2 linked regions of the Arabidopsis thaliana genome follow. The protein of the gene in region 1 interacts with the protein of each later gene in a pairwise test. Each region holds a gene or a part of one and is shown on either strand. Other genes may lie near its edges.

Region 1 (9,456 bases):
GCGGCAGCGTTAGTAACGCGAATGGAGGTGTTCCGGCGTCTTCGAGGAAGGTTATTCAGGATTTGAAGGAGATTGTGGAGTGTTCTGAGTTAGAGATTTATGCGATGCTTGTTGAGTGCGATATGAATCCTGATGAAGCTGTTAATCGTCTTCTCTCTCAAGGTTCGTTCTTCCAGCTTCAATAGCTTTTTATCTCTTTTTTAGTTTCTGGGTTTTAGCTTCGAATTTGTTTAATGGAACTTGAATAGCAAAAAAAAAATCAAAACTTCAAGGAGTTTTAATTTAACCTTGTGAAGAAATTTTTGCAATCATGTTGAATCTGTTAGAACTTCTTGTATAAGAGAATGTGTCAGAACTTTATTTGATTTCCTTAAGTTTCTTGAAATAGTAATGTTATTTTGGATTTTGTTGAATCTTTTTTGTTATCTGTTTCTGGAAATAAATATATAAATCAGTTTTTTTCTCTTTTTTTATGTTACAGTTTCTTATAATGTTGTTTCGTTAAAACTTTTCAGATACTTTTCATGAGGTGAAGAGTAAACGAGAGAAAAAGAAAGAGGTTTGTCGAATATAACATAAAACAGCTACTAGTTTAGTTACTAATGCCATATAGCTTTAGATGATTAAAATCTTTTTATCTGATTTTCATTTATTTGTCTGTTTGTTCAGACTAAAGACCATGCAGACTCCTGGACGCGTAATGTCCCGAATCGTGGAGCTAGAAGCGGTAATGACAGTTACAATACCTCTCGAGGTGGCAGAAACAAGTATAAATCTAATGGTAGTAAGATGCAAATTGTGCAAGAGATAGTTTTCTCTTTTTTCTTATGTTCGTTGTGGTTTTGGTTATCTTGAAAAATGTCTAAACTTGTTTCTGGATTTTGCTTCAGAGACAGGAAAAATTCAAGGTGTACCTGTGAATAGAAGAGAAAACGGAGCACGTAATCATTTGGCTGGATCTTCTGCATCATCTGGTTTGCTTGGACGCCTACCTGGTTTGCTTAGACGCCAACCACCATCAAACAGGTTCTTACCTTCATGTGGTCTTTTGGTATCTAATTTTCGTAACAATGTCCAATATTTTGTGTTATCTTAGTATCTCCTTTGCATTGCAGTGATCTTCCAAGCTCTAAAGTCAAGAAAGCACCAACGACCCCCAGTGATGCAGTTACTTTGTCTTCGTTGCCTTTTCCTGCGTATCAATCAGCTTGGGCTAGCGCTAACCCTGGGCAAAGAACTATGGCTGAAATTGTGAAAATGGGTAGACCTAACCTGCAGAAGAATGTCGCTTTGCCTCGTTCATCAGAGGCTCAAGAGAGCAGCAGTAAAGCCCCTTTGAAGGATGAATGCCCTTCAATTGAGAAGCAAGACGTTTCTTATCTATCATCCTCTGTCTTGAAACCATCTGCTGAATCTAAGATTTCTTCCGACCAATTTAGTGAGTCTCAACATTTGGATGAGACTCTTTTGGATGACATCCACCGCGAAACAAAAACTTATCCAACTGGGTCTCCTCCTGATGTGGATCACAATCCGCTAGCTTCAGTATCAAGCAGAAATTTGGTTGACGATGAATCTAGAGATTCCTTAGTATGTGACGATGAAAATAACAAAGCTGAAAGACATTCTTATGAGGAAAATCAAGGTGAGATATCCATATTCTCTGTGTGAGTCTTCTTTTTATCTCTTTCTTCCTCTTTGTCATGTTTTCTAATGTTTGCTTTTTCCATTATTTTCAGATGAAGATGTTTCTACTTCTGTTGCTACTGGTTTTCAGCAACTAACTATTTACAATGAAGAAGAGCAGGAAGCATTACCAAAGGAAGAAAAACATGCGGTGATAATCCCCAATCACCTGCAAGTCCATACCTCGGAATGCTTGCACTTAATGTTCGGTTGTTTTTCTTCTGGGATAGGATCTGGTCAACCTAGTGCCTTGAATGATAACTTGGAAGAACCACTAGTAGCAGAGGATGATTCATCATTCAGACATCCCGACACTAACTTCTATGGAGAAGAAGAAGCAGAACAGCCGAGAAATGCTGTTACAAATGAACAAGTGTCTTATCAAATCGATTCAAGTACCCAAAATTATAATTCTGCCACAGATTCTAAGACAGACGCAGTGCAACATGAACCGCCTCAAGAAGTCATCAATACAAGTTTTCGTCTTCCGAAGGTTACAGATTTGAAAACAACCAACTGTTCCATCCTCCATCAGAAACAAATCCTCAGAGGCAGAATCTCGATACCTACCCCAACATAATGGTAAACATCAAACACTATTCAGATTTAAAAATCTATCACACAATCGAAAAGGATCACTGAAAAGATTTTAACCATATCTACTATTTTTTTTTTCTTAATGTGCAGCAGCAAGGATATACAAGTTCGTTACCCAACACTCTACTCCCATCAGGCATTCAAGATGGAAGAGAATCTAATCTTCACTACTCGCCTTTCACAACACTATACAACACTGAAATTTCCATGGCCGAGGTAACCAAATCCCCGTTTCTCTTTCATATGATCTTATTCTAAGCTTTCCTTCAATACCATTGCTTACACAAATTTGATTGCAGGCACTAAGAGCTGCGAGTATTTCACCTCAAAACGCAATACCCAGTGCAGGACAGCAAGCAGCAACTCTTGCACAACATCTTGCCTTAAATCCCTACTCTCATCAGCCTGAGATGCCTTTAGGACATTATGGCAATTTGATAAGCTACCCATTCATGGCACAGTGTTACAACCCTTTCATGCTTTCAGCTTTTCAACAAGTGTTTCCTACTGGTAATCATCAGTCTTTAGTTGATATGCTTATGCAATACAAGACTCAAACAACCGCTCCTCCTGTTCCTCCTCCCTCTGCCTATGGGTTCGGTGGAGGCGCTGTCTCAAGTAATAACTTCCCTTTGAATCCCACAAGTGCTGCAAACTCCTACGAAGATGTCTTGAGCTCACAGTTTAATGAGAGCAACCACTTGGCATCATCTCTTCAGCAGCAGGTAAACCATGAAATTCTTCTCAGGTTTTATAATCATGTTGGTGTGTTTTGGTTCTGTTTGGTTTCCTTCCTCTGTTTAGTCAGCTGGAATTTATACTGGAGTATTCGATTTTATTTATTTTTGTTCGATTTTGGATGGGTTTGGCTCAGTTTTGAACTGTTGGATTTTAAGAAAATCGGTGCAGTTTGGTTTCTGTTATTTGTGCGTTCTCTTTTTCGCAAACCTTAACGAGTAGCTTTCTTTGTTTTGCTTTGATCTACAGAACGAAAAAACAACAGCATGGCATCAAGGACAACAAGCCAACTCGCGAGTGGTTCCAGGAAGCGGATATTACAGCTACCCTGGTCATCAGAATCAGCAGCCTCCCGGTTTCCGTCAAGCCCAACAACTGCAACATCAGCAGCAGTCGTCTCAACAACAACAACAACAACAACATTATGGAGGACATGGGTATGTGAGTCCTTACCATTCACAAGCTGTAATGTCACTAGAACATCTTCATCACCAATACCAACAACAGCAAAACGCTAGAGACGCGTCGAAACAGTCCCAACAATAGTTATGGCCCAACAACTACTGATGAAAAGCAATCCATTCAAATCCTTCTTTCCCCCTTATTTTCATCTCTCATTCCAGAGCAGCGATGGGATGATTCCGTTGTTTGAAAATGGCGTTGTGTTGTGTGTGTGTTTAAGGTTCAGGGTAGGGTCTTATGAGAGGGTTTTGTGAGAGAACCTTCAATGGGTTAACTTGTTTACTTGCTAACCTTCTTATATTACTAAAAAGAACTCTATTTTTCTTTCTTGTCTGTTTCTTATCATTTTACTTTTTAACTATTTAGTCTTGACATTCTATATCAGACCAAACTTCATAGTAAAGATTATTAAGCTTAGCATGTCCTGACTAACCTGCGTCATATTAAATAGTATGGAAAGAGAAGAAAAATTTGAAAACAGAGAAATTCAATTACTATTTACACATTTTGACGGTGTGATTATGCTAATTTATCTACTATTAAATAAGTTGTGTATAATGAAGAAAGCTAATCAAATCATGTGTTCTTTGTTTGGTACTAGTCTACTACACAATATTTAATTGGATAGTATAGTTAATAGAGAGATGTGTACTTATCTAACTCTGGAAAACCACGTCATGTGAGATTTGTTAACAAAACGACACATTTTGCCGTTTTATTTGTTTTCAGCTCCAAAAATTCAAGTCATCTCTGTGTTTAAAAATTTTAATATGAGAGAGACGCTGTACCTTTTTGTCAAACATAGTTGACACTTTAATTCGGTCGAAGTGTTTACTGGAATTCAAACTTACAACTTCGACCCCTCCATTTTAAAATTACGGTTCCCAATGGTGACGAAACCGCACGTTGCAGTACAATTTTAATACTCCCTCCATTTTTATTTAGTTGATGTTTTAGGAGAATACACATGCATAAAAAAATTATTTAACTTTTATCTATTTTAAAACTAAAATATCATCTATTATTTAATCAACCAGTAGAAAAATAATCTGCAAAAAAAAATCATTAAAATCAATAAAAATACAAATAATTTTCCATTGAAAATTTAAAACATCATTCCTTTAAAAACAAAAATAAAAGTTTAAAACATCATTACGGAAAGAGTAGTAACAAAATTTTCTGAAATTGCTAGAATTTTAGGGCCACAATCAATTGCTTCTTTTTATTTTGCTCAGTTACAATATAATAATACAATGAAAACTACATCGCATTTGATATGTAGTTAAACCGTATATCTCCATTCGGAACTTATTTATCTGATCTATAATGTCAATTAGATTTATTATTCGGAACACAATTCATATAAATGTTAGTTTTAGATAAAATTTTAGAGAAAATATGAAAGGAGCCAAACTCAATCTTAGACTTAATAAAGAGTATTTTTCCACAAATAGTTACAAGAAAACCAATTCAATTATTAGCAGCATGTGTAATGTGTGCAATCTAGTAATCTGAAATAGAATAACAAAATCGGTCTGGATATATTATTATTGAAGAAGATGCCATATTATTAATTATTATAAAAAAAAGATGCCATATTAATTTTAAAAAATAGCATGTTATATAGGTTCTTATAGTATCATATGTAAATGTTTCTTGTTTTTTGTGCAAACCGCATCAAATCATTATTAAATGAATATCAGTATATAACCTTTGATTTCTCTCTAAAAAATGTTAATAGCCACAAGAAAAACTTAAGAAAGCGCCATTTCTGCTTCTTCTTACTTCAATCCTTTGCGAGAGAGAGAGAGAGAGAGAGATAAAGTTTCTTCCTTTTTCCCACGTTTCACGTTCCTCCTCTTACCTCTTTCTCCTTCGCTTCAATCCCTTCAAGTTTCAGTCTTTAGATCAAACCAAAAAAAAAAAACGATCTTTTTCCGATAATTCAGTTAACTTCAATCGGAAAACCATTTCCAGTTTTCCGGCGAGATGGCCAACGAAGGAAGTGACCCTTTACTTCAATACATGATTAGCCCGAGATTGAAAAAACCTCCACAGCTGCTGTTTCCATTACCAGAAGACAACGAAGTTGCGATTCCGATGCCGATGACACCGTCGGAGTTCAAAGAGCGTTTAATCTTCGGACCCTTTTCATGTTCGCCGCGAGATTCGTCTCACTTCATCGATTCCATGAAACAACCGTCACCGTCGTCTTCTTCAACCGCCGTTAATAATCCTTTCTCCGATTCCTCAACCCTAGATCCTCTGCTTCCACCACCACCACCACAACCAGAGCCATGGTTGTCCGATCAAACTTCGAGTCACTGTCAAGGCCACGCTCTTCACCGATCCAAAACAGCACCAGCAATGGCTGTAATCAATGATCTTCATCACCCAATTCGTCAAAAAGATCCTACAGAGACGTCACGATCTGTAGTAAGACAAGCTTTTGCTCTTCTCGTTGTGTATCTCTCTCTAGGTGTGCTTATCTATTGGCTGAATCGTGATCACTACGTTGTGAATCAAACCCATCCTGTAGTTGATGGATTGTATTTTTGTATCGTTACAATGTGCACCATTGGTTATGGAGACATCACTCCAAACAGTGTGGTTACTAAGCTGTTTTCGATTATGTTTGTGCTTGTTGGGTTTGGTTTCATTGATATTTTGCTTAGTGGGATGGTCTCTTATGTTCTTGACCTTCAAGAGAGCTATATGTTAGACTCTGCTAAGCGGAGAGATGAGCCTGAGAAGAGGAGATCTTATATAATCGATGTCAAGAAAGGGAGAATGAGAATTAGGTTGAAAGTGGCTTTGGCATTAGGTGTTGTGGTTTTATGCATTGCTGTTGGTGTTGGGATTATGCATTTCATTGAGGAAATCGGGTGGTTGGATTCGTTTTATCTCTCGGTTATGTCGGTTACTACTGTCGGGTATGGAGATCGGGCTTTTAAGACATTGCCCGGTAGGCTTTTCGCTGCGATATGGCTGCTTGTGTCTACATTAGCTGTGGCTCGAGCTTTTTTGTACTTGGCTGAGGCGAGAGTGGATAAGAGGAATAGAGAACGGGCGAAGAAAGTGCTTTGTGAAACAATGTCTGTCTCTCAGTTTTTCGCTGCAGATATTGATAACAATGGCTGTGTGAGGTAATTTGACTCATTCCTTATCCATATTATATGCTCTGACACACTCCTTAAGGTTTTAAGAATCTTAAACTGATATCTGAATTAACTGTGTGATGCTTATGTTTGTTAAAATATCCATTGTGACATCCGTAATGTTTATGCATTTCTTAGAAGTCATCCAAAAGATTTTGTCTTTGCTATTTATTATTAGTCTTTTAATTTTCGTTTGTGTAGAGGATCTTTGAAAACAAAAACATTCATAGCTCATTAGCTAATTAGATTCTTGAAGGTGTTGGATTTCTAAGTTAATTCATATTCTGCACTTCTTCTTATGAATCTTTTTGTTCAAGAACATAGTTTGTGGTCTTAGGCTAAGTTGAAGATCTGTGAATGTGTGATGCGAAAGCATCGTGTCATTGTATGTTTTCGGCTTGATATAAAGTTTGAATGACCATGAAAGGGAGGCTTAGACGCATTTTCGGATTTAACACAGAGAAATGCTTTGCTTGTATACTCACTCAAACCTGAGATATCTTCTGGTTTTTTTCTTTGTTTTTGCAGTAAAGCAGAGTATGTGATATACAAACTGAAGGAGATGGAGAAAATAACCGATAAGGACATACTACCAATCTCCAAACAGTTTGACAAACTCGACCGATGCAGCAACGGAAAGATCACTCTTTTAGATCTCTTGGAAGGTGGCAGTGGCGATTGATCAATCCTCTGCAACTTTTTGTTTTAGCTTAGAATTACAGTTACTAATTACAACGGATCAACGATCCTAATGATGCTAATGGTGATGATGAGGAGTCCAGTCTCCAGTTTATGTAAACTGGTTTGGACCGATATTATGTCTTTGGTCTTGTCTTGCATAATTGGTTAAGCAGGATTCACTGATTCACATCACCAAAAGTTATCCTCTCCTTTCTCACCCAAGATTATGAAGAGGAATTGTGGGATTTTATCTTAACCGGTTTGATGTGTTGCCAAATGGTTATGTGATCGGTTTACTCTGGTACGATGAGATTTTGATGACCCCCTGTAATTTTTGCAGATATATGGGCTCAAGCCTCAAGGTATATAAATTTGGTTGGATAAGGTTTGATCCAAATTTGTTGGTCCAGTATGCAAATAAAACTGTAACTTTCAAGTTCCAATCTAAAATATGTAAATTCGAATTTCTTATCAACAGTTTTAAAAGAGTTTTACTGATACATCATCAGCTTTTTCATATTAGTTCTTTTCCAGTTAAAGAGAATTTCAATTCGCATTGTAATGTAATCGACCATGTATAGTTACTCAACATATTGATGTCCTAATATCAATACCAATTAATGAAAAATTTAGTCTTTTCGGTTATTTGTTTTTAAATGCATTTTCTTATTCTTGATAATCTATACACAAATATCATATATATTAAATTAATCAGCTGTAACAACTCAAATTTCAGAAAGAGGATAACGTGTGTGAAAGAACAGAAAATACAAGAGATTCCTTTTTATTCATATATATTTTATATATACTAACATGAATAATAATGATAAAAATGTCACACATGACAAACCTAACAACAAACCTGCCCCAACTATTCTATTCCAAAGCTAAAGTCAACAATTTCACTCTCTTTCTTTTTATTCTTCTTTACGTTAAATTGAAACTTAAATAATGTAATAATTATGTGTTTACTAGAAAGTAGAAATAAATTTCATAATAATATCTTTATATGTTAGGCACAAATCCCCAAAAATAGGTCAGACATTTCAACTGCAGACAGATACAGTTATGTATACGTGTAATTGTAAGCTAATGTTTTTTTTTCACTTACAGGTTACAAATTACATAGAGGTCCACGGTCTAACTTTGGGTAATTTAAATGTGGGGCTTATGGATAAGACAACGCAAACGATTAGGCACCAATTACGGCGTTTAGTTTCTGCCTAAATTAAAACTATAAATGTGTATTAATATATATCTTAGTATGCATTAATGTGGTTAGGTACGAGAAACAGATTCATATACCACCATTATGGCATTATTATAGTATGCAATAGAAGATTGAATATATATTTGACTTCGAAGATTGAATTTTTTTTGGTTTAGAGATTATTCTATTACTCATATGGAATCTGATAAGAGTTGCTGTTTCTCTTTCCCAAATTAAAGTATGTATACGCCTTGATGTTCTTGGTCAAATGTGAATGGTTAATGTCTCTTTTGGTTCAAAGAGAATTATTCGGTCTTCTTAATTATTTCGACCAAAGATTACTAGATTGGTATTGATTTTCTCGAAAACGTTTTTCATCGTAGTTTGTTTTGACCAAAAAGCGTTAAAAACATGGAAATTATTATGCCCTTCTTTCATTGATCAAATTTTTATATACCAAAGCCATAGTATTTTGATTCATTCCAATATTTTATACTGAGTATCACTGAGACACTGACTATATATATGTATGTATTCTCGCGCTATCCGTAATATGCTAGGTAATATAGCAGTGATTATTAAACGCATTAAGATCATCATACGTAATTCACGATAATTTGTAATCCAAAAACTTAGGTGTGACCAAAAAAAAAAAAAGAGTTGAATCCTTCACCTACCAAAAAAATGGATTGTGACCAAAAGACCATGACATATCAAATTTTTAGTGATTAAACCGATTTCTTCCAAGATGCTAGTATTTGTTTTTATCTTGCCATATTTTAGTGATTTTTCATAGTAGTAAATATATCACTTTGACCACATTTAAAGTTGATGTATGTCCCCTTCGCATTTGTCATGTCGGTTAGGCATTATATGTCTCCTTTTTTCCTGATCATATGCTCCTATCAATTTCTACAAACTCAT
Region 2 (9,456 bases), on another chromosome or scaffold:
CTTAATAATCAGCTATCTGAGGAAACATATATAGCAAGTCATCTCACTGATTGATTGTGATGCTGTTGGCGGGAAATCGGTGATGACACCATCAACAGAGAACTGGCCATTGTCCACAAACTGGAGATACTCAGCAGAGGGATCATAGCTGTAGTTAAAGCTGGTGCGCAAGTCGTTGGCAAACCCTGAAGCATAGACCTCTAGACCGGCTTTGTGAGCATCAGCCACAAAAGTGGTGGCGGGCTTAAGGTACTTAGCTGAGTCAATGGGCCAAATGTAGTCTTTGGGCACAAGAACGCCTGAAGCAAAGGCCTTGATGGCTGCGAGGTTCTGCTGAATCTCGCTGTACTTCTTGTTGGTGGTGGGCTCAACTGCCTCGGGGTCTTTGAACTCAAATATGAGCTTTGTCTTGGCCCTGCCCGCGTCCATCCCGATGCTCTTCAAGAAACCAATCTCTGGAGATGAGATGACATTAATGCCGCGGAATCGCAAGCTTCTCAGGTACTCGGCTGGGCTCAGCTTGTGTTCCATGTAGAAGGCATCGTACTGCACATTTGCATTGTTTGTTGTTTTGATGAATCAACAAAAAAGCTCCATATGTTGGTTAATCATGTTCTCAAAGAGAAGAAAACATACCTGAACGCTCAACCAGAACTTGGGAGGCTTGGTTCCAAGGACATCCTCCACTGCAGAAACCGACATTTGGCCGTCGAAGATGCTAGGCCGAGAGAAGATGTTCTGGACCACTGCTCAATAATACAAAACATGAAAATGTGTGGTGGTGGTGGTGAGCATTGAAGGGAGGAAATGAAAGAGAAGAAGACATACGAGTGACTTTGTTGAATATGGTGTCGGCATCGTAATCAATGACAAACCAGCCCTTGAGGTCCTGACCGTTGACCTTGTAGGTCTTCTGGGCTTTGGGGAAGACCGAGGAGATGGTGGTTGCATTGTCAAGTCTGATATCTGACAAGCAAAGGCCCACACCGTCCTTAGTCATCTGAAGGTTGCACAACATTGTGAAGCCAGGCGAGCTGGTGCCAATAGCCAAGTCGTTTGCAGAGATGCTTGACTCAGGGAAAAGACCCGAGAAGCCCCCTCTGGCCACAACGGCAGGCTCTTGTCCTGGAAGACAAAAGACAGGTACGGATTCTTAGAAACAAACAAACAACATGGTATCTTAAGTCTTAACATTAAACAACAACAAAAAAAAAAACATGGTAGTATGCAATATGGGCATACTCTGTAAAAGGATGCTTACCGTTAAGGGTAAGCCATTTCTTGGCAGGAACAGCTGCGGCAGCAGCAGGAGTCTTGGGTGCCGCAACAGAAGAGTGTAAGAAAAGGGAGAAAAGAATGAAAAACCTCAGCATCTCTATCTGATTGATCCTGCATTTGTGTGTAACGTACGTACCCCAATGGAAAAGCAAAGTCAGGATACATGTAACAAAAACAGAATTGTCACATTTAAGAAAATTGTGAAAGAGAGATCTTACAGCGAGAAAAGAACATGAATCCCCTCTCCTGCTTGTTTTCCTCGTTTAGTTAGAGGAAAGGAAAAAGAAGAGAAAGAGGAGATGGGTCAAACAAGGTTAATTAATGGTAAAAAAAAGTAACTTGCTCTCATATCCTCCATTTATGGCCATTTACTCCTTTCTATTTTTATCTCTTCTTCTCCACCATTCCCTTCTTAACCGCTTTTTCTTTTTTTGATGCTTTCTTACATCTTCTTTGCACAAATGGGTGTAACACCCCTCAGTTTTGGACTTTGTACTATATTCATTTGTCATACATGTATGTAGTTAAAATGACAATATTAGAGTTTGGCATTCGGACCAAACCAAGTTGTCCGATCTAAACCAAACCAATATTCCGTTAATAAGAAAACTCGATTGGCAAAAATTAAAATATTCTTTGGTTTCAGTTTTTGCCTAGACTTAAAATTCTTAAAAATCCAATTCTATGTGATGGAAAAATCTTTGATTCCGGTCCAATTCTGCATCAATATATGCTAAACCGAACCGAGACTGCCCACATAAAATTGAATTGAACCAAAGGTTTTTAATTTTTACTTCAACATAGCGAATAAGAAAAAGAGGGTATATATTCATTATTCAATGTTAATGAGAAGGCGTCTGCGTTTGGTTCGACACCTCAAAACTTGTTTTGCCTTTAGCATCTCCGAGTAAGGAATCCAGGTCCAAAGCCTCTTCTCTTCCTCCTCCTCGCTTCCTTCTCACGCAACCTTGGATCCACCGCAGCTATGAAGATCACCGCCTTGCTCGTTCTCAAGTGCGCTCCCGAAGCTTCTGATCCCGTCATCCTCTCCAACGCTTCGGACGTCTCTCACTTCGGTTATTTCCAGCGATCTAGCGTCAAGGAGTTCGTCGTCTTTGTCGGTCGCACTGTCGCTAGCCGAACCCCTCCTTCCCAACGCCAGTCTGTTCAACACGAAGGTTCTTCTCCTTCTTCTTCTACCTCTCTAGATCGATTGTTTTCAAATCTTCTTTCTCCCGGATCTAATGCAATCTCCTTTCCTCTTTGATTTTTATTCGATTTCTAAATTCGGATCGGCTTTTCGATTTTGAAACTTTTATGATTTAGGATGTGCACCGTTTCTGATTCTAGATCTTCCTGGACTATGCCCCGGCTTTAATTTCTTGCGATTCTATCTTATTGTTCTAGTCCTCGAATTTGGGATAATTAGGGTTCGTGTTTTTATTTTGTTTTTGGTTTAGAGTACAAGGTTCACGCTTACAATAGAAATGGCCTTTGCGCGGTGGGTTTCATGGACGATCATTACCCTGTTCGAAGTGCTTTCTCTCTTCTCAATCAGGTAATATCATTATGTTGAAAGTGGTTCTCAATGCATCATTCGTAAGTTTTCCTGTAATTTGGGTTGCTTGACATTTAATTTTGTCTCAGGTCCTAGATGAGTACCAGAAGAGTTTTGGTGAGTCATGGAGGTCTGCAAAAGAAGACTCCAATCAGCCTTGGCCATACTTAACCGAAGCTTTAAACAAATTTCAGGTTCTTCACTTGTGCAACTGTATTCGCTCTTTTACTGTGAATTTTGTTAAAACTGTAGTTATATTAAGCTCAGTTAGGTGGACATTAGAATCCAATCGAATGATTCATTCTTCATGAATTAATTTTAGTAGCCCCCATTGTTTTATGACCATGTTGGATTTTGAGTGATTTGATCTTAAATTGATTTTGGGATTGTCCCGTATTTGTAATCTTCAGGACCCAGCAGAGGCTGATAAGCTGTTGAAAATCCAGAGGGAGTTGGATGAGACAAAGATTATCCTTGTAAGTGCTGTCTCCGGTCCTTTCTTGTAGACCCTTATACATAAGCGGTACTTCCTTTTCTAAGTTTCAGTATACTTGCCAATTATACATAAATGCTGTTCTGTCGGTGAGTTTACTTTCTTCTGAAAAACACCAAAACAAGAAGAAAGTCTTGGTAGTTATGATGGATGTCCCTGTCTCCGTAAGACTGATTTTTTGTTCTGTATTGTAGCATAAAACCATTGATAGTGTTCTAGCCCGTGGTGAGAAGCTGGACAGCCTAGTGGAGAAGAGCTCAGATTTGAGCATGGCATCACAGGTAACATTCTAAAGTCACATTCTAGAAATTCTTATAGATTTAGTTTCCTTTTTTCCCTGTCTCGATCTCTGAGCATAGTTGGTGAACACGTTAGAAAGGGTTGTTGATTTAGCAGGCTTATAAGTGTTGTTGATTGATAGAGGAACTATTGCATGTTATTGTTGGGGTAGATAAATAGAGGAAGAATGTGGATTTAGAATACCTTCTTTGAAAAAGCTTTCTGCTTCAGCCTGCAGACATTTGAGTGCAGTTTGAACTATACAGTTGGATTTTGGAATTATTAGGTTTGCTACGAAGAATCATAGTGTTTTTTGCTATATCATCTGACCATGGGGAGGAACATATGTATTAGTCATATCCTCTGGAATCTCAAGATATTCTTCGTTATTTAGATTAGGTAAACCATGTTTACTTCCAACATGAAAATCTGATTTGGTTGTATTGGTTGGAACAGATGTTTTACAAGCAAGCGAAGAAAACAAATTCATGCTGTACTATTCTGTGAGCTGGAAGTCCTGCTGGGTATATAGTCAACCAAACTTTTGCTGGGGGGAGACTGTTTTTTCTATCGTCTTATCTATACATATAATTCCGTCTGTAGTTTGCATGCATTATTTTGATTCCATAAGTCTCGAGTCGTGTGGTGTGTTTATCCAAATACATAATGTCAACTTCTGCAAGATTTGAATTGTCTTTCCCAGATTTGATCTGATTGAATTTGTGTGCGCTTCCTTATGGTAAAAGAGACGACTTTGCATAACTAGATGAAGATGTCGTAAATAGACAAAAGCAGATGATGGAAGATAACTAGAGTAGACAAAGGGGGTAGTATATTACACAGACAAAAGGATCAAAGAGGTGAAACAAAGTCTTTGTGTGCCGTGTAATCTATTTGCCGAAGAGAGATTTGAACCACCAAACGCCCTTGGAGTCTTCAGGGGCAGTGTTGGACTCAGGTGGTGTGTCACTCTGAGGAGTCTTGTGAAGCTTGCTGATGTCATAACCTTCCTCCACTGCCTTCTCCACCAGCTGCTTATACGTCTCTTCCTCCATTTGCGCCGTCCTGCTCAATATCTACACCACCCACATATACAGAGTCAATCATTTTTGGGATCAATTTCGATTATTCGTTAAAGAGAAAAAAAAAAGAGTACCAACCCAGAGATAACTCCTGGAAGGCTGGCCAATGAGAGCGTGCTGGTAGTCAGGATCGATGTAGAGCACCCAGTAGTCTCCGGTGACGGGAATGATTGGGAGGAAAGGAGGGACATAGAACTTGACTTTGAGCTTGGCTTCGTCGCTTTTAGGATCGGCCTTATAGGCGCTGCCTTCGATAAAACCCCTCTTCCCGTTGCTCCACGTTTCGTTCAAGACGTGTATGGTACCGTCGGGGTTAAGGGTGTAGGTGGCGCGAGTGTCGACGCCGTTCTTTGGCTGAAACCTTGATGGGAAAGAAGCAATCTCGTACCAACGGCCCATGTATCTCTCCACGTTGAGCCCTTTCACCACTTCCATCTCTTTCTTCTCTGTCATTTCTCTTCTTTTTCTTTTCTTCTTCTCTAAGATTTCGATGTTTTCTTTGAGGTAAAAGGATAAGAAGAGATTCTGTTCTTTATAAGGAAATAAAAAAATAATATCAAGGAGATTTCGCTGGGACGAGAGGATGCCACGTGGAAAGCGTGTAGGGCAAGGGTTCTAGTAGCGTCTAGCAGTTACAAATGTGAATAAAGGTGGAGGACACAAATGTCTTCCTTGTTCTGTGGGAAGAAGGATACAATACAATGGGCCATACAGTCACATTTTGATTTGACTTCCTCTAGCCGTTTCTAGGCCCCACCAAATTATCCTATCGACATCTAAATATCTCTTCTTGTTGACACTTCAAAATAGCTCCATATGTAAACCAACGATCTCAATTAGGCCCATTACTATTCGTATATTGGTTTTGAATAACAACACTTATTCAGAAACTTTATAAAATAAATTTTTGTAACAGGCTCGCTTTCAATTCCAATTCATAAAAGAGAGTATGAAACAGGTTGGTGTACTATGATCTATTGACAGTCGGAGGAAACAATGTGGGAAGAAATTTAAAAAAATCACATGAAAATGGTCTCAAGTGGAGAAACTTAATGCAACTGGTAGAGAAAGAGATGACTAGCTAAGGTGGAGGAAATGAATCAAAGCCAAATCTAGTAGCCACTGGCACCATTCCGTTATTCTCCTCCTGCAACAAACACATTCACTTTCATTTTCTACAAACTACAAAAGCTTTTAATCCAATCAAGAAAACAACCGCGTTACCTGTTTCATCATCTCATTCATTATGTCATCGAATACATCATGCTGGTTGTCATTCTCTGGCTTTCCCGACTTCATCTCTGGATCCAGCATTGTAGTAGCTTTTCCAACATACTCTTGACTGTTGTCTATTGGGTTCATCAGTGACTCATCCAAGCCTTTGCTTCTGGTTGAATTGTTGTCTCTGAAAACCATGTTATCTGCGGGTAGAGGATACTCAATGTTACCGAATGGATTGTTCAGCATGGTGCAGTTCTGTTGCTCCCATTTCTGTCCGCCTAACGGATTCACGTTCTGCATGAAGCCGCCAAGTAATTGAGGATCACACTGCATCTCTCCACCAGGATTCTCTGCAGAAACCAAAGAAGTACAATCTCCCAGATTGTTCCCTGCACATGTCACTTGATCCGGCAAGAAAGCAAGATTTAGTGGTAAGGAACTCGGTGGGAATCTGGTTGTGTTCAAATTCCCTTGCCAGCTATGACCAGGAAATCTAGATAAGCCTTGGAAACTGATGTTTGGGGAGGCAGAGTTGGACGGAGTTCCCTCGATGCAAGGCTGAATTCCATCTGAGGCTATATGCAGGGGTTGTGTATAGTTTGCTTGCAACATTAGAGGATTGGTGGAAGCACTTGGTAAAGAGGTGCTAGAGCTACCAAATGGCATACAAGTATCTAGGAAGCTACCGCCAATAGCTCTGTCCCCTAAGCCTTTAAAATCTCCAATGTATGACTTGCTTCTAGGAAACTGGAGGGGTTCTAGTGGAGATGAAGTTCGCTGAAACAGATTCACGTTCTGGATTCTTGGTGACAGAGTACTGTGATATGTTCCAAACGGATTAGCTGAATTGCTTGAGTTCTGGTGATGCCCCTGTTGGATGAAGCTGGAGGAGTTCATTCCTTGGAGATTTATCGATGAATACATAGGGGGTTGGAGTTTGGTGAGATGGGAACGCGATAAGAGTCCTGAGCTTGGAATTTGTCTTGCGGCAGTAAAATCTCTAAGTCCATCAAGTTGAGCCATCTGAAAGTAAGATGAATCTCTTGTTCCAAATGCATCTGGGGTCATATTTTGCTGCTGACCTTCGTCTATCTTTTTCAAGTACAGTCTGTACTTCTGCAACCAAAACCAGAGAATAAAACAAGTCTAACCATCCAAGATTATATTTGCGAAAGAAGGGGAAAAATGCAAGAGAGAATGGGGAATTAGTACCTGCAAATGACTGGCTACGTTTTCCCTAGTGAGACCTTCTATACTCATGAGATCAAGTATTTTTTTGGGAACAGCCTCTGTGATGAACACAAGGAGAAATGAAAAGAGGATCCCACACATGAAAGCATCAAAATAACTCTATAGGAGAAACAAGAGTGGACATCACACATAAGGAAAGGTTTAAAGAGGTCTATGGGGAAACTCACTGTCGAGGCCCAATTGCTGAACGGCACTGACAAACTTCTGGTGAAGCTCCTGAGACCAAACAACACGTGGCTTCTTCCGCGTACCTGACCCGTCACCATCCTGTTCACTCCCCTCACCATCATCCTCTTCTCTGTCACTGTCATCTTCATCACCACTGTCATTGACTTTGTCTTTCCGTTTCCTGCTGGCGCTTGGGACGGAATCAGATTCAGAAGGTGGGAGCAGTTTTGCGTAAGATTTAATGTTCTTCTTCACAACATGATGCCATATATTCTGAAGCTCCTTGAGTCCAACAGGCTTGACCAGATAATCGCAAGCGCCATGTATAATACCTTTCATAACGCTGTCATAGTCGCTATGAGCTGACAACACTGAGACAATGAAGCAGGTTACAATAAGGGCTAGAGTTGATATGAAAAACAATGGTAGGAGACGTACTGATGACAGGAAGGTCCATTTCAAGACCAATTTCAAGCAACTTAAAACCATCCGTGTCTGGCATCTCTACATCGCTTATCACCAGATCAAACATGTTGCTGTTTTCTCTCAGCATTTCCAGAGCTTTCCTCGACTCCATTGTCTTTGTCACTGGCGTAATCAATCAAACATCATTGACCATGCACCCCAATTCCGAAGCAGACAGGTAAAAAAAAACAAAAGCAAAGAATATGTAGTACCATGATACTTGCAACGAAGCAGCAACTCTTCGAGTTTCCGAAGGCAGGTTGGATTGTCATCCACAGCAAGAACCCTCATTCCTACAGGAAACTTGTCATGCCTTCCATCTTCAGTGCTTCCAAACTCCATATTTGATGCAATACGTTTGCAAGTCTCCTCTCTTCAAAGGAATATAGTACATAGACTAAAATCTGATCTGTTTTATTCTTAAAACCTCAAGTTTGGGACTAGAAGAAGACCATAGTCCTCCTATAGACAAATGTAAAAAGATAAAGACGAGTGGCCCAAAAGAGAGAGTGATTACGCGGTTAATCTGGCCCTTAATTCTCCAAATAATTAGAAATTTCCTTCTGTTTCTGCTCATATTTCCATAAATGAGGACGTGGAGAGAGTCACATGTTCCTCTAATTTCTCTTTTGTTGGTTGAATCTTGCCTTATCTGAGCACAAAAGACAAACTTTTCGTAAAGTGAATGTAAATGTCCCCATTTTGTTTCCTTACTCGCAAATAAACGTTCAAACCCAACGTTTCAACCTTTCCTGGCTTTCCTTATATATATGCATTTCCTATTTTCCATAGAAATGTTTTTCCTTTTTAGTCTTCTAAGTGAATGCACCAAAACAAAACAAAAAAAATCTGATTTTTGACATAACGCGTATGGTCTCAGTTCCAAAAAAAAAGAGAATTCGACAAATGCAATGGACTGACCTGATCACATTCAGGCATTCGAATCCGTCGACTCTTATTACTCCACATTCTTAGTCAATCGTCATACTTGTGATTACTCTGCCATTTTCTTGATTATTCTATCTGAAATCACAACCAATGTGAAAACTGCGTCACAGATGATTGTTGCTGATGAGTCTCCAACAGTCTTAACTTTATCCATCACCAAACCCTTGGAACTATGCACCACTCCAAAAAATAGTCTTTGATCTGATTTCCACTACCACAGAGACTTATTTTCCAGTTTCCTTCCATTTGAAGAAATCGACAACTCTGTGATCTTCTTATACTCAGATTATTATTACCATTCGATTTCTTCAAATGGAAGGAAACTGGAAATAAGTCTCTGTGGTAGTGGAAATCAGATCAAAGACTATTTTTTGGAGTGGTGCATAGTGCCAATTGGACTCAAAGATTAAGAAATTAGATAATCGTCTCCTAGTTTCCTATCTAGAAGAACGAGAGCAAGGAGAAAGGGAAACTTCATATGAAGAATTGGAAGTTGTACAAATCTGTAGTACTATAGATGTCTAAAACAACAAAAGGACAGTCTCTCCAGCATTTATGAAACAGAGCTCCAGGGAGAAAGAGAGCGCAATAGACTTTCCCAACTACTATAGTACAAATTCAAATGCTCATTTGGGCCTGATTTATTGAACATGGCAATATGGCATTGTTTTAAGGTCAGTTTGGTCCCAGAAAACAGCTCTAATAATCACTTG

What was found.
Region 2: the proteins of KCO6 (region 1) and YKT61 interact in a protein complementation assay, tested with the Arabidopsis thaliana proteins (one large-scale study listed by BioGRID).

Annotation. Positions count from the first base shown.
Region 1 is NC_003075.7:10,050,224-10,059,679, forward strand, and holds KCO6 (Ca2+ activated outward rectifying K+ channel 6), read left to right. Parts: upstream 1-5,155; 5' UTR 5,156-5,472; coding exon 5,473-6,629; intron 6,630-7,169; coding exon 7,170-7,323; 3' UTR 7,324-7,962; downstream 7,963-9,456. Other genes in the region: AT4G18150 (Serine/Threonine-kinase, putative (DUF1296)), read left to right, coding at 1-162, 516-559, 670-781, 891-1,026, 1,116-1,645, 1,740-2,081, 2,180-2,268, 2,374-2,499 and 2 more. UniProt on the Arabidopsis thaliana protein: Two-pore potassium channel modulating the proton motive force (pmf) necessary to convert photochemical energy into physiological functions.
Region 2 is NC_003076.8:23,496,014-23,505,469, forward strand, and holds YKT61 (SNARE-like superfamily protein), read left to right. Parts: upstream 1-2,125; 5' UTR 2,126-2,263; coding exon 2,264-2,456; intron 2,457-2,604; coding exon 2,605-2,678; intron 2,679-2,738; coding exon of another isoform or gene 2,739-2,746; coding exon 2,747-2,836; intron 2,837-2,925; coding exon 2,926-3,030; intron 3,031-3,246; coding exon 3,247-3,312; intron 3,313-3,523; coding exon 3,524-3,610; intron 3,611-4,047; exon of another isoform or gene 4,048-4,064; coding exon 4,065-4,115; 3' UTR 4,116-4,371; downstream 4,372-9,456. Other genes in the region: SVL4 (SHV3-like 4), read right to left, coding at 48-546, 637-746, 829-1,125, 1,262-1,373; TIL (temperature-induced lipocalin), read right to left, coding at 4,499-4,684, 4,769-5,143; RR18 (response regulator 18), read right to left, coding at 5,772-5,837, 5,915-7,027, 7,124-7,200, 7,330-7,701, 7,769-7,918, 8,008-8,137. UniProt on the Arabidopsis thaliana protein: May be involved in the secretory pathway. Essential for membrane fusion mediated by either SYP41 or SYP61; triggers the fusion of phospholipid vesicles containing SYP41 or SYP61 and VTI12.